Notamacropus eugenii: one gene and its partner. The protein of the gene in region 1 interacts with the protein of each later gene in a pairwise test. Links are inferred from orthologs where the notes say so. Each region holds a gene or a part of one and is shown in the gene's direction. Other genes may lie near its edges.

What was found.
Region 2: the proteins of EEA1 (region 1) and RAB5B interact in binary tests that used the Homo sapiens proteins (3 or more experiments, as listed by UniProt). The link is inferred for Notamacropus eugenii from reciprocal best matches to the Homo sapiens genes EEA1 and RAB5B.

Annotation. Positions count from the first base shown.
Region 1 is NC_092874.1:275,351,662-275,359,530, reverse strand, and holds the start of EEA1 (early endosome antigen 1), read left to right. Parts: upstream 1-4,740; 5' UTR 4,741-4,792; coding exon 4,793-4,825; exon of another isoform or gene 4,826-5,039; intron 5,040-7,869. UniProt on the Homo sapiens protein: Binds phospholipid vesicles containing phosphatidylinositol 3-phosphate and participates in endosomal trafficking.
Region 2 is NC_092874.1:231,171,176-231,178,992, forward strand, and holds the start of RAB5B (ras-related protein Rab-5B), read left to right. Parts: upstream 1-4,756; 5' UTR 4,757-4,877; intron 4,878-7,817. Other genes in the region: CDK2 (cyclin-dependent kinase 2), read left to right, coding at 297-398, 1,397-1,552, 1,849-2,052, 2,409-2,513. UniProt on the Homo sapiens protein: The small GTPases Rab are key regulators of intracellular membrane trafficking, from the formation of transport vesicles to their fusion with membranes.

The DNA of each region.
Region 1 (7,869 bases):
TTTGCAAGTGCCCTGTAAAATGACACATTATTCAGAGAGAGACAGGGACAGAGAGACAGAAAGACAGACAGAAACAGAGACAGAGAGACACAGAGATAGAGATGCAGAGACAGAAATAGAGAGACAGAGAAAGGGACAGAGAGACACAGAGATAGAGATAGAGATACAGAGAAACACAGAAACAGATATAAGGAAACAGACAGAGTCAGACAGAAACAGGGAGGGACAGAGAGACAAACAGAGACAGATAAAGAAACAGAGACAGAAAGAAACAGCAGGACAGAGAGATAGGCAGAAACCCTCTAGCTCTGGTTTGAGGCTACTGCTTGGAAAGCTAGGGTAGAAGGAAGTAGGCAGGTGAGCTCAACTCAGCTTTTTATAGCAGAGCTTCCAATTTGAATTATTCTTGATAATTAGGTGCCACACTTAATAGTCTCTGCATTTCTAATAGAATGCAAATTCTGTCAAGTTCTATGAGGCAGCTAAGTGGCTGATAAGAGTGCTGGATCTGGAGTCGGGAAGACCTCACTTCAAAACTGGGTGACCCTGGACAAGTCAATTAACTTCTGTCTGCTTCCTCAAGTTCCTCAACAATAAAAAGGGGGAAAAAAAAGAAAACAAAAAGAATAAAAGGAGGTCATAACAGCATCTACCTTCCAGGGTTGCTATAAGAATCAAATAAGTCAATATTTGCAAAATGTTTAGCACAGTGCCTGAGACAATGATACATACCTATTGCTTTCCCCTTCTGTCCCTGCTCTCTAAATTCAGTACACCGTGTCAAAATACTGCTTACCCCACTTTAGTTATGTCTCCACTGATATTAAAAAGATTTTAGCAATAGAAAGGGATCTATTTCAACTCCTTTACTTTAGGATCCAGAGAAGTTAAATGATTTATTCAGCGGCTATTCTAGTTAGTGATAGAGCTAGGAAATAGAACTTGCCCTTCTAATTGGTTCATTGGTCTTGTGACCACATTTTTTCCCCATTCATTTATAAAATAGGATAATGTTATTGGCACCAAAGATTTATTATGAGATTGCTTGGTACCTAGCACTTATTTAAGCACCTAATGGAGGCAGTGCATTATACTAGCTGCAGGGGGCTGAAGGGAGATACCAAGACTGTAAGACTTAAAGATTCCAGAGCTGATAGTCCAGAAGGGGCAATATGCATAAATCGGTGCCTATAATACAAAATGTTATGTGATTAAAGAAGTACAAAATGCTATGTGAGAGCTGAGGGAGAAAGTATTACTAACTGGGTGTGAGGATCAATGAAAGTTTTATGGAGGAGGTGTCATTTAAAAGCATTCCGGTTCCCACAACTGGCAGGGAGGGAGGGATGGGGGAAAAAGCAATCAAGACCAAAAATAAACCTAACAAACAATGATAAAAAGTTGGGAGAGCGTGGAACGACTATGGGAGATGGCAAGAGAATCAGTTTGACTAAAGTACAGATATCTATCAGAGAGAAGTGCTGAGATAAGGTTAGAACCACAAGGTGATACCACAGGATTACTCAATTACTGATTTTATACTCAAACATTTATACTCAATTGGGCAGCTAGGTGGTATAGTGGCTAGAGAGCCAGGTCTGGAGTCAGGAAGACGAGTTCAAATGCAGCCTCAGATACTTATTAGCTGTGTGCCTCTGGGCAAGTTACTTAACCCTATTTGGCTCAGTTTCCTCACCTGTAAAATGACCTCTAGAAGGAAATAGCAAGCTACTTCAGTGTCTTCATCAAGAAAACCCCAAATGGGGTCAGGAAGGGTTGGACAGGACTCAAGAGTAACAAAAACACTTAATTGATAAGACAATAGTGAGTCACTGAAAATTTCTAAGGATTAGGAAAGCTTTTTCTTTCTGACTAGACTCAGCACTCCATCTGCTATGCCACCTAATAGAACTTGACACAACTTGCATCCCATTAGACATGGATCATAAAGGGCAAAGTGGTGAAAGGTGATTTGGAAGTGGAGGTGGTGGTAGTGAGGAAACCAGAGCAGAAAGGTGTGTAGGATGGAGGAGGGTATGGTAATACTTCAGCTCAGCTAGGCAACAAATGGGGGACATAGGGTTGGAGAAGTGAGAATGAGGAACAAGTTTTGGTGAAATAGTTATGGGAATTATTTTGTAGACAGAATCCACAGGAATTGTAAGGAATGAAGAGGACAGTCCAGGGTTAGGAACATGGGAGATGGGGTGCCAAAGACACCACAACAAGGAGAGGAGAAAGTACAATTTCAGACAGATAGAGTTTTAATACTTGTAGTACTATCCAGAAGATAATTATCTTCATGGAGAGCAGGGATTGTTTTTTGACTCTTTGTACTGCACCAAATAAATGCTGACTTAATTAAAAATGATTGACTGGAGTTCGGAGAGGTGGAATCCTGATCTGGACTTTGGGATGTGTGATAATAATACATAGGAGAGGCTCATAGGTTCATATATTTAGAAATTCGAGTAGCCTGAGACGTTACCCAACCGCTAAGAAAGCAAGAAAGGAAGAAAGGAAGGAAGGAAGGAAGGAAGGAAGGAAGGAAGAAAGAAAAAGAAAGAAAGAAAGAAAAACTGTGACCTAAAGTGGCTTAATGACTTGCCTAAGATTATGCAGGTAAGGACAAAACTTGGGGCAATATCAGTATCATGGAGGAAGAAGGCTGAGCATTTTAATGAGCACGAGCTGATTAAGTTAGAGGCAGGTTGGCTTGGTGAATCAAAGGCTCGAAGATTCCCGAAATCAGCCCCACCTCTGACACCTTCTGGCCGCAGGCTCCAAGGCTGCTCATGTGACTTCTCGGGGTCCCAGGAAACTGTGAGACAGAATAGCTTGTGTGTGTGTAATGTGCATGAAACACGCACGTGTGTAACGTACACGAAATATACATGGGTGTAATATACACGAAACATACATGGGTGTAACATACACGAAACATACATGGGTGAAATATACACGAAACGTAAGCGGGTGTAGTATACACGAACTATACCCGGGTGTAATATACACGAACTATACACGGGTGTAACATACACGAAACATACATGGGTGTAACATACACGAAACATACATGGGTGTAACATACACGAAACATACATGGGTGTAACATACACGAAACATACATGGGTGTAACACACGAAACATACATGGGTGAAATATACACGAAACGTAAGCGGGTGTAACATACACGAAACATGCCCGCGTGTGTGTAACGCGCACGAAATATGCATTGTTAGAGTTAGCCAGAGCGGTCAAACGTCAGATTCTGTCCAGAAGAGGAAAGAAATTCCATTATACAAAAAGTCACATTCCAGACTCGTCTCCCCGGGAGCCCCATCTTTCCTGGGTAGGGCTGCGGGGGGATTCGCCGACGCCGGAGGCGAGGAAGGGGAGGACGAAGAGCGGAGTGGGGAGGAGGGGCAGGAGGCCAGTTTCGGGGTTCTCCGTCGGGGGTGGCGGGCAGGGTTGCCCAGCAGTTCCCCGGTGTCAGGGTGGCTGCGGATGCCAGGGCTGCCCCGCCAAGCTCCGGGCCCCCTCAGCCGTTGGCCGTGGGGGAGGACGAAGCCCGGTCCGGAGCGAGCCCCCGAGGGTCCGAGGGTGGGACTTCTCAGCCTTCGGTCTCGCGCCCTGACCCCGGCCGGGGTGGGGAAGGTGGCGCACGCGCGCCCCACCCGCCGGAAGGCTCCGTCCGCTCGCTAGTTAGTCAGCCTTTCGCCCACGCACGCCCCGCCCCCGCCGGCCTGGATTGGCCCCTGCCTCCGGCTCCGCCCCTAGGGGAGGGTCCGGACGGGCTCTCTCGGCTCCCTCTTCCCGCCCGGGGCCGGGAGGTGGCGCCCCCGCCCCCGCTGTCAGTGGCCGCGCGACTGCGCGCTCCCTCCTCGAAGACCGGCCGAGTGAGGGGCCGTGGAGGCTGCCCGAGCGGCCGCCGCCCTCCTGCCCTGGCTCGGGCCCCGAGCTCCACCATGCTCCGGCGGATCTTGCAGCGGGTAAGAGCCGAGGGCCGTGGCGGCGGCAGGCCCCGGGGCCGGCCGCGAGATTAGGCCTCTGAGCGGGAGCGGGGCGGATTAGGGGGTGGGGTGGGGTCGCGCTCCCTCTGAGGTGTGAGGGGGAGGGGCGGGGCCGGGCGGGGGCGCACGCGCTCTGGGGTGTGTTTGTGGCCGGGGGCCGCGCTCCGCGCCCCTCCCTCCGGGCTGCCGTTACGGCGACCGTCTGGACTACGGTGTCATTGAGAACGTGGCGGCCCGAGCCGGGGCTGGGGTGGGAGGGGTGGGGGATGGTGGAGGGGCGGGGCCTCGCCCGCCCCGCCCCCGCTGACCTTTAGGCAGCGACCCTCAGGGCGTCCCCTTCCCCGGCCGCAGGGGCACGTGGGTGACTCGGGGCGCCCTAGGAGCCCCACGTGCTCCTCCCCCGATCGCTGCCAGGTCACGGGAAGCCGAGGTCCTCCGGATGCGCCCCGGGGCCTGGCACGCAGGAGGCGCTGCCCAAGTGTGTGCGCACCTCGGGGAGGTGGGGGTCCCACCACCCGGACCCAGGCAGGCGGGAGCCAGAAGCCTTGCTGGGCCGATCCGAGGACGAAGGAAGTGCGGGGTTGGAAGCCGTGGTGGTGGTGGTGCGGCCAGGGTGGCCACCCAGGAGAGTTGAGTCATCCAGTGCCTGCCCGAGGGAGTGTGCCAGCTTCTCTCAGCTGGCTGGCCCTGTCAGTGTCATGTAGAACTTGGTCATGTATCCAGGGGAAGTGGAAGAACCAGGGCGTTCGGATCGGACGCTCTAAAAAAGACGAGTTCGGATGTCCAAAGGGCTGCGCGGAGCCTCTTCCTTTGTAAGAGGACTCTAGTAATAAGGGCAGGTCCTGGCTTCTGTTCAGCAGAAAAGACGTCTTCGTGTCATTTACTTGCAACATGTAACTCATTTTCAGGAACCCTTTCTCTTATGCCTCAGATTTGTTCTGTAGCTGAAGATAGTTGGCCTAGGATTTGTGTAAAGGTTTATGATGAAAAGAAAGTGTTTAAGGACTTCAAGGTGCCTTCTGAAAGGTATGTGGAGAGAGCTGCCAGAAAATTCAGGATACTTTGAAGTAGTGCTGGTTAATACTGTGAGGAATTAAGGTTAGGCAAATTTATTTGTTTTTCCTTGTTGATAGGAGGAAATAAATAGTGTTGGAGATTCCAAAGGAAAACAAGAAATTGGGATTAATGTATGTAAGCAGATAAGTATTTTATGAAGCTATCAAAACAGGAGGAACAAGTTGGTGAAATCTTTTGATGTTAATTACAGGTATTTCCATTGTGAACTTAAAGTTTCCAAAGCTAGCTGTTACACTTTGATTAAAATGTAACCCTCATGTAATTTAGAACTTAAGGACATTTTTAAATCATTCTAGAAACAATCATTTTTTTTAACCTCCTGAATTTTTTTGAATAAGAATACAGTAATTATAATGCAGTTAGTGTTTACCTTTTTTTTAAAGGGGTATGGTTAGTATGTACAAACAGGTATAACTTGAATCTTTAAGTTGTGTCACATGGCAACATTTTAATTTCACCCCACCCTGACAACCTGGTATTTCTTGTAAGAAGAAATGACATTAGACAAACTGAAGTATGTTTAGACAGTATGTTGGGAAATGGTCCGCATACTGTAAACTGTGTTATATATCATTTAGTGTTGTGGTCTTTGATGACCTTTTTGTTTCAGTCACAATTGTTTTTCTTTAGAAAAGTGCTCTTTAAGTAACATTTTTAAAAGAAGCAGCAAATCTTGTACTTACTATTATTTATAACTTTGAACCTAACCCCAAAAAGTACTAAAAGGGGATGGGATCTAGAGCTGGAAGGGACCTTAGAGGGCATTTAATTCATTAATTTGCTAATTAAGAAACTGAGACCCAGAAAAGTTAAAGTGACTCATCTTGAAATTACCCAGTTCTGAGAAATGGCTTATCTGGGATTATGCCAGTCAGTCAAACACACAGGTAATTGAGCTTCAATCTAATACCGAATTTTATTGTTGCGGTTTTAACAAATTATATTGGATCATAGAATCATGAATGTAGAGCTGGAAAGGTCTTCAGAATTCTGGTCCAGCTTCCTTACTTTGTAGAAGAGGTGATGAAGCAGAAAGTGGCTTACTTGGGATTCAAATTCAAGTCTGTGACTCGAGGTTCAATATTCTTTTCCATTACACCATGCTGCATTCCTAAATGTACCTTCTTAAAGCATCATGATCCTGCCCCTCCCCCCCCATACCTATCTTGTTACCTATCCAGAGCCCTAGCTTAGTTACTCATAGTTGCATCCCACCTATCTAGTCTGAGAGATACCTATGAGGTTCACTTTGCCTCCTTGTGTTTAGGGCCTGTAATTCAAATCCTTTGTAGAAGGTGCAGAACTTTGCAGGTAGCTTGCTCTCTATTTTCCATCGGTAGCTCTACCTCGTTTCTACCACATTATGCTCAAGTGTGGGGTACTGAGATACAAATGTAGATGTCAGCACTTCCTCCCTTCAAAGAGCTCACATTCTAATAGGGATATAAAGCACATTAGTTGATAAATACAGGATATCTTCAAAATAAATACATTGGTTTGAGGAGCTATTAACACTTGGCAGAATCACGAAAGTCCACTTGAAGTAGGTAATACCTGAGTGAGCCTTAAAGGGAGCTTCTGGTTTCAAGAGTTGGAGAAGAGGAAAGAGGACTTTTCAGACTTGAGAGCCAGCTTGTGCCAGGGCCTGGACACAAGAGATGTTTGGATTGTAGAGTGCATGAGGGGTGGAATATGTAATGAGCCCTAAAAGATGCGGGAGCCAGATTGTCAAGGGTTCTAAATGCTAAACAGACAAGTTTGTATATTGTTCTATCCTAGAAGCAATAGGAAACCACTGAAACTTCTTGAGCAGAGGAGTGCCTTGGCCAGACCTCTAATTTAGGTATATCAGTTGAGCTGCAGTGTGTAAGATGGATTGATGGAGAAGAGAGAGAATGAAGGCAGGGGTCCCAATTAGGAGGTTATTGAACAGTCCAGAATAGAGGTTTAGGGAGGTTGTGGTATGAGTAGATTGAAGAGGACAGAAAGGAGAAATGTTAAGGGTGTAGAGAATGAGTTGAGAATGAGTAGTCAAGGATGATTTCTAGTTTGTGAACCTCTCTAGAAGGCCAGTTCTTGAACACTCAAATTAAGGAGCTCTCAGACTTGCATCAGTGCTCAAATTTTGGATTATCTACAAGGTAATAACCTTCTAAGCCTGGAAAAAGTCCTCATAAGATCTCTCCTAAGATCCTGCCTGGGTAAATGAAAGGTTAGTGGCACTTTCAACATAATATAAGGAAGTTGGATAGAGGGGCAGTGAGTTTGGAGGGAAAGATAATGAGTTCGATTTTGGATGTATTGTGTTTGAGATGGCTCTGCCACATGCAAGTGGAGACTTCATGCAGATTGTTGAAGAGATGTGAACTAGAACTTAAGAGAGGAATGAAGTCTGGATATTTAAATTTGGAAGACATTTGCCTGAAGATCTTGGTTGAAAATCCATGGGAGCTGAGATCAGTGAAATGTAGAAAGAGAAAAGGAGGAAGCCCAGGACAGAGCAGTTGGGAAACATTTCCTCATAAGGAGCTGGTATTGCATGGAGATGAAAAGCAGATCAAGAAGGAATGCTTCAGCAGGTAGGAAGAGAACCAAGAAGACTCAGGGAAAAATGGAGGAGATGGTAGTCATAGTCAAACATAGTAGAGAGATCAAGAAAGATGAGACCCATGAAAGGCTGCTGGATTCAGCAGCAGAGAGATCATTGGCAGCCTTGGAGAGCCCAGGGGCAGATTTTGAGATTTTGAACCATGATCAGTGGGTATGAAAGTGGAATAAA
Region 2 (7,817 bases), about 44 Mb from region 1:
CCTGGACACTCCAGGAAGATCTTAGAATTTAAACTCATTCATTGTGGTATCAGATTAACTAGATGCAAAGCTGGGATAGTTGAATAGAAGCACATAAAAGAAATTGCATGGCAAGGGTAAGCACCACGTGTTGAACTGATCTGAGGTTGGAAAAGATTATTAGGGGTAAAACAGTGGGAGGGACAGGTTTTAGAGAGGAAAAGTTATTCTAAAGATTGGAGTTTTTAGGGAATGGTGTCAAAAGGCTTCGGATTTCCCTACTATCTAAACATCACCAACCTTTCCATTCCATTCAGGTGGTAACCCTGTGGTATCGAGCACCAGAAATCCTCTTGGGTTGTAAATACTACTCAACAGCTGTAGATATATGGAGCCTGGGTTGTATCTTTGCAGAGATGGTATGTTGTAGACCCTGACCCTAATCCTCACCAATCTCCCACCTTCTCCCTCTACCACACACACATACATCCCCTTCTATCTCATGGCATGAGAATGCTTAAGAACTGCCACACTGGTTAAGACCTATGCTCCATCCAGCCCTACATTAGTTTCTGATAGCAAGGGAAGTATTGTGGAAGTGGGATGGGGTGGGTGGGTATGCTTTTCTTCCCTGGTAGTGACTTTAAATGGTACGATAGTCCCCTGACAAAATCTTCATTTCTTTTAATAGTCCACTGTAGCTCTGTCACCATTAATTTACAGATAAACTTATTTTTATAGCTATTTCATGCTCTCCAAAAGTTTACTTCCTACTATGGGAAGTAGTATTTCCTGTACTCAGCCTAAAGTTTCCTCCTTCAACTTCCTAGGGTACCTCTCCTGGTTCTAATAACACAGAATTTAGGGAGCTTTATTTATACTATTTTTTATTTTTATAGACTTTGAGCATATGCTCTCAACTTTTGACTTTACCAACAGAAGATTCTTAATATTTTTAGTCATGTGAGAGCCCCTCCCCCATCCCCTTGATTATTTAAATTATCCTTCTGAATCTTCTCCAGTTTCAGTGATAATCTCTCTTGAGACGCAGTAACCTGAACTGTACCCAGTATTCCAGGTACAGATGTACCATGGTTTTGGACAAGGGTGGGATTAATGTTTTCCCTTTTGTTACCAATATCTTCCCTGACAACTCTTAGCCTTTTATAGGTCTTTTGGGCCAAAGCAACACATTGGCCCAGTATCTTCAAATCAACAACAGATATTTATTGAGAGCTTATTCCCAGGTTCCTTTCCTGGACCTTGAAGGTCATCTAGTCTATCCCCCTCATTTTATAGATGAGGAAACTGAGCTAAGGGCTCAGAACCCATCATCTTAAAAATATAGTATGGGTTATTTGTCCCTTAATGCATTACCTTACGATTGCCCATATTCCTGTTTCAATCAATCAACAAGGATTTATTAAGCACCTACTGTGTGCCCAGCACTGTGCTAGGTGCTGTGGGGGATAACAGAAGAAGTGGAAGACACAGTCCCTGCCCTCTGTACTCCTATCTAGAAGTGGCTGCATCACAAGGAGGGGGGATGACTTCAATGCCCACCCCACACCCCGTGAGTGGCTTGGGATCCCCTTGCTGCACATCAGTGGTCCCCACTCACCCTACCCCAACCCCCCCACCCCAGCCTAGGGGGATCTGAAAAGCCATGGTTGGGGGAGGGAAGGAGGAGGCGTGGAGATAATAAAGGGGCTTTATTGTCTCAGGCTCAAGTGTGACTGACCCCGTGAAGGGCCCTGGGGGGAGTCATGGGGTCCCATTGACCTTTCACTGCCTGTGGGAACCTCTACTCTATGTGCAGGGAGGGGTTCATCTACATCACTCCTGTCCCCCTCTTCTTCTACTTTCTAGATTACCCGTAGGGCTTTATTCCCTGGAGACTCTGAAATTGACCAGCTATTCAGGATCTTTCGGACACTGGGGACACCAGATGAGGTAGCTTGGCCAGGAGTGACTTCCATGCCTGATTATAAACCCAGTTTCCCCAAGTGGGCACGACAAGATTTCAGTAAGGTGGTGCCTCCACTGGACGAAGATGGACGGAGCTTGCTATCGGTAAGCTAGGAAGGAGGGAAGAAATCAACCTCTTTCTTTGTACCTCACAATCCCCCAACCCAAGTCACACTGCCCCTCACCTGGAGAGTCAGGAAGAAGTCAGGTCCCTTGGACTCAAAGGTCTTACCATTTCCTAAAGAAGAGCCTTCTTTCTGTGCCTTGTCTTTCCTCGGTGGTTGCCCAGCAAAGCTTAGAGGGAATAGGGGTTGAAGTTGAGTCAGATGGTATAGTAAATTGCAGAAATGGCCCATCTGTGTAGAAGATGGAGGGTGGGTGGGATTGTGTTTTAAGTAGCTTGTCCCTCACCCAGCCACACAGACATCCCTCTTAATAATAATTTCCTTTTCTTCCTCCAGCAAATGCTGCACTATGACCCTAACAAGCGTGTTTCAGCCAAGGCAGCTCTAACTCATCCCTTCTTCCTGGATGTTACCAAGCCTGTACCCCACTTGCGACTCTGAGCCATGCTGTGCCCCTACCCCCCAATCCTATCCTCACCTTCTAGGGTAGATCAGCCCTGGCCTGGCTCTGGGGCTGTTTGAACTTAGATAGGGGTCAGGGAGAGCCAATTTGGCTGCCCCTAACTCTCAACTTACCATCTCCCTTTTCCTGCTCTACCCATTTTGGGGATAGCTGGGGATTGGGAGGGGTAGGAAATGAAAGGGAGATTCAGTATTCAATGCACTTAAGCCAACATCTGCCTTCCACTGCCTCCTTCTAGGGCATGAGCAGTGAGACAGACCCTGAAGCCTCAGCTCCTGATCTATGCTGAGGGGGATGGACAAAAGACAGGACCTCAGGGCTCCCCACTGTCTGACAAACCACCCCCTACCTAGGACTTCTGTCTGGTGATGATTGTCTCCTGAGTTTGGGAGTGACACATAGGATTTTCAGCATACCCCTCCCATCCTCCTGCTGCTACTGTTTATATAGGACTTACTATAAGCAGAGGGCTAGGTGGGAAGCTTTGAAAGGACATTCCACAAGGCCCCTTTTAAATAATTGTGTATTTTTGTTTTGTTGTGTGTGTGTGTGTGTGTGTGTGTATGCTTTTCCTTGTGAATTTTTTAAAAAGAAAATAAGATAAAACCAGATTTTGTACCCCAGAGTGCTCATCTCCCCTCATAAGCTGGAGAAATAAAAACCAGTCCTAGTAAGTGCTGCCATAGAACTAATTAGCCCTAGCTCGAGCTCCCTTGTCTGCCACCCCTCTATCCATTTGGCAAAAACTGAACTTGGGGTGAAGGATGGAAACAAAGGGAGAAGAGAGGGAGAATTGTTCTTCATTCTGATCCATGACTACTTCACTGCTGCCTTATAAGGGTGGGAGGTGTTTGATTTTTCCATCTCTTTTGGAATTGGCCTCTAGTTTCTTTCACTTAACTGTTGAGCATCTCTGCCTCCTATCCTCCAATGAAGGAAACTCAAAACTGGGGCCACGGCATAAGGTTAAAAGTCATTGTGAGAATGCCTGACACTTTTTAAAGGGAAGGTTGTGACTGGGCAATGGGAATGCCAGAGAATATTTGTTGGAAAGAAGGACAATACTATTTATATTCCAGGTTGTAGTAGTTTTTTGTTTGTGTTTGTTTTGTTTTTTTTAAATCGGGGAGGAATTTTGCTGCCGTGTGCACCTTTAGGGTTTTGTAAGGGAAATATTAAAAAAAATATTTTTGTCTTCCTATGGTCGTGTGCGTCCTCACTCCCAACCCCTCCCCCCACCCAGTCTCTGTTAATGTTATTTGTAATTTAGTTCCTAATTCATTAAAAGAAAGTTCCTAGTTTGATAGTCTGTTTCTTTTATCCTTGGGATTCGGGGAAATGGAGGGCAGGGTCTAGTGATGGGACTTTCCCAGGGCTGGGTCTCCAACATAAAAATGACTGAAGTCAGGCAGGCCCAGAGAGAAGCTCTGGAAGCTGGCGGGAGGAAGCCGGAACGGAGCTCAGTTCTTCCCGCCTTGCCCCCGCCTCCCGCCTGCTTTAAGTGGGGGTCACACAGACCATTGGGTCCGGCCCCTCGGACCCGGCGATAGACCACACCTGTATCTTCCTATCCTTTAAGACCCAGGATGGAAAGTCTCCACTTTGGAAACTCAGTCAAAAGGCAGACACCAAGCAAAAGGGGTCATGACCTTTGCCCCGACCCCCGGAAGTGAACATTTCCTCTACCTTCATTCCCCTCCCCCTTCCCCTGTCCAATCAAGTGAAAAGATCCTTCTAGGTAAGAAATGTTTAAGGTTCATCTCCAAATTGCTCACGGCTGATGCTACCTGGTATCAACTCCAAACTTGGGGGGCGAAGGTTAACGTAAGGCTTCCTTTCTGCCCCGCCTCGTTTGCCAAGCAGATTCTTTAATTCGTGACACGATTGGTCAGTTCTCTGCCAAGATCCTCCCCCCATTGCTCACCTGATTAGATGTTTATGAGTCGAAAGGAGGAGGGGGAGGTTCGTTGGGTGTCGAGATTCCATTGGTCGCTACAGACGTCCGTTAACAGCGCACCGCCTCTTACCTCGGAAACCTCGCTCTTTAATGGCTGCTCATTTGCATGGAGCTTCGTTGTCTATTGGTTGCGTGTTTCGTCCGTCAGGGCCCTCTCTCGTATGCGTTAGCGACAATGCTGGAAGAACCCACCTCCCCAAAGGCGATTGGCGAATGTGTCGACGTAAGCCCCACCTCCGGCGGTGGGTGGGGGAAGCTGCTATTGGTCAAGGCCGCCGCCCCAGGGTGAGGAGAAGGAGGAGGAGGTGGAGAAGGGTTTGGTTGACTTGCAGCTGTTTGTCTGTTCGACACAGGCTCGGGCCCGATTGGGTAGTCGGAGGCTTAGGTACTGGGGCTGGTGGAGTCGGAGGGGCTGGGGCGGAAGGAGGCGCGGGTGAACTGACAAGGAGGGAGGCCCTGCTTTGAGGGGGGTAAAGGGAACGGACTTCGGCACCCTCCGGAGCCAGGGAGGGACTGAGGATGAAGGGGGCAGGGATGGGCAGGCCTAACGGGGAGCTCTTGAGTCGGGGGACTGGGGGGAAGGGAGAGCGAAGTTGGTGGGCAGGGGTCTGGGGTGTATTGGAAAAGGTAAGAAGACGAGCTGGGAGGTGTTTGGACCCAGTTAGGCCTGGCTCTGGTTGGGGTGGGATGTGATAGGGTGGGCCTGGCTCATTCTGGAGGTGAGGAGTGCAGGGGGGGTTGGGCCCTGCAGACTAAAGGGGATTGCTTGGGGTTGGCTTAATTGGGGGTGGCGAAGAAGGGGGACTAGATCCAGTCCTTGGAGAAAAGGGTTTGGAGGGGTGGATGAAATAATCCCATATGTAGGGTGCCAAGGTGGGGATGGGTGGTGGAGGGGCCACACCTGTCAGCCTGATGGGCTGCATCGAGGAGGTGAGGGGGTTACTGGAGCTGGGCTGCCAGGGAGCTGTTCAATGGATGGAAATAAGAATGAATTGGGAGGATGAGGTGAGTGATAAATTAGAGTCGAACTTAAGTAGAGAAGATATCAAAAGGGATGGGGGGTAATGACAGAACTTTAATGGTAACTTAAGGAGTTTAACTGAGGGAGATTTGGACTCAGTGGAAAGAGTTAAGGTGAAAGAAGTAAATTTTATTTAAGCTAGAGGAATAGAGAAGTTGAGAAACTTGACAGAAGCTTTGGGATCAGTTAAGGAGCTTTTGGGAGACTATGGGTTCCAGAGAGTAAGAAATTACTCATCTTGTCCACTTGAGTGACCCCATTGTAGGGGAGAGAGTGGTCACAGATTCCTGATAGCCACTGAGGTAGAGAGCAGAAGTAATAGAGACCAGTGTGGTATGATGTTTGGGTTTTTTTCCTATGTTTGGTGACAGCCCCAAACTCAAGTCTCCTCTTCCCCACTCCATACAAAGTACAGTTGAATGGAGCATTCAGTCTTTCTAATTTTTGTCTCCCTGAGAATTTCATTTGTGAGGGAGCTAGAAAGTTTGTTTGAGGAGGGCATGATTAGCTTCATTCCCACCTAGTTTTATTAAAAGGTAATATTGGTGCTCTGCCCCCCACTGAGAAGCAGGGAATGGAAGAGATTGAATTAATCATCTTAGAAAGGTGCTTGAAGGTCTTACCAGGCAGAGTTAGATGAACTTTCATTTGTGGGACTCTGTGGGCTTTCCTACCTAGTGATGGAATTGGATGGACCAAATTTTTTTCAAAACTTGGATGAGGTTACTATGAGAGGATTTGGCTTAGAGCGGAAATGTTCTACACAGAAGCTTGGTTTGTCAGTCCATAGCTACCTGTCACTAATGGGCTTGGTTTCTTTTCTATTGGGAGTTGGTGTTGTATAGTGGCAGCATCTGTAGGGTTTGAATGAGAGGACTTACAGTTTGTAGAGTCAGAGATGAGAGGCCCTATTATTCACCTCTGAGATCCCTATCTAGCAAAGCCCTTGCTGTATTATTGACCTTCCAAGAGGTCAAAGATTGGAGGCCTATTGGTTTTTCCCCCCTTGAGAATTTTTCTTTTTTTAATTATTCTTGGTTTGTCTTTTATTATCATACTTTCCCATCACTATTTTACCCTGAAAAAGGAAAGAGATGGCAAAGTTCTTCAGATCACATCAATTTTCTCCCCAACCCCATCCCTCTTATTTAGAAGATTGTGTAGCCAAAGATAGTTTTGCCTACCCTCTCCCTCTGACTTCTGCCTCCTAATTTATTTCCATCTTCCTTTTTGGTATGCCTGTCTTAGTCCCTCTTCAATGATTGATCATCACTGTTCTGTTTCCTTTTACCCTGCCTCTTTTGCCTTCTTGAGCAGATACTTTGTTCACTTGTTGCATTTGCAGCTGTTCAAGCAGATAGCTTCTCTGCTAATGATCCTAATATTCCTGATATTCTAGGTATAATAATAATAGGTATAATTTCCCCATTGTCATATCTTTCTGCAGATTGCAGTTAGGCAACTTAGGACATTCTTCCCAACCATATTGCCCAAATACCTTTCTAATCTGGGAATGGCCATGGAATATAGTACTTTGCTTAGGAGAGATCTATTCTCTAGTGAAAAATCCGAGACCTTTATCTTCTAGTTTGGGGTCTCTGACTGCCATATGATCTTTAGGACATCCATTTCCTTACCCCAGGATATGGGCTTTCTCAAGTTTTGGACCCCTTTGTCTATGTGTTGATTTTACCAGTGACTTAGGTTTTTGAGTCTCCTTGGCTCCAGAGTTGATTTCCACTTCAGTACTACTTGAACCACTTTTCTTAGAAGAAAGTATTTGATATTATGGACCAGTGGCTTGCAAATGAAGCTTGTCTTACTGCCATTAGGAAGTTTCTCATCAGCATACCTTTAATGCTCAATTCCTTGTCTTTCCAGAGTTCCTATTCTTTCATCAGAACCAGCCCTATACAAAATTGTGAGGTAGACAAAGTTTCTTATGTGCCATTCTTCCTCATTTTTTACCCTATAGTTGGTAGGTCCTTCTTTTACTCTCTCCCTCAGGTTTTCCCTTATGTGGAGGTGCCCACAGGTTACCACACACACAATCATAGAATCCAAGTTGGCAGGGACATGATGAGGTCATCTAGTTTAATTTGTACCTGAGTAGAAGTTTTCTGTGATAATACTTCAAAAATGGTTGTCCTGTCTCAGCTTAAAGACCTACAGTGATGTAGGTCACTGTTTTGGAGGCAGTCCTGTCCATTTTTAGACATTAGAAAGTATTTCCTTATATTGAGTGAAAATTTGTTTTTCTCACCATTTTGGTTGGCTTGCTCCACCTTTCTTCCTAAAATAAAT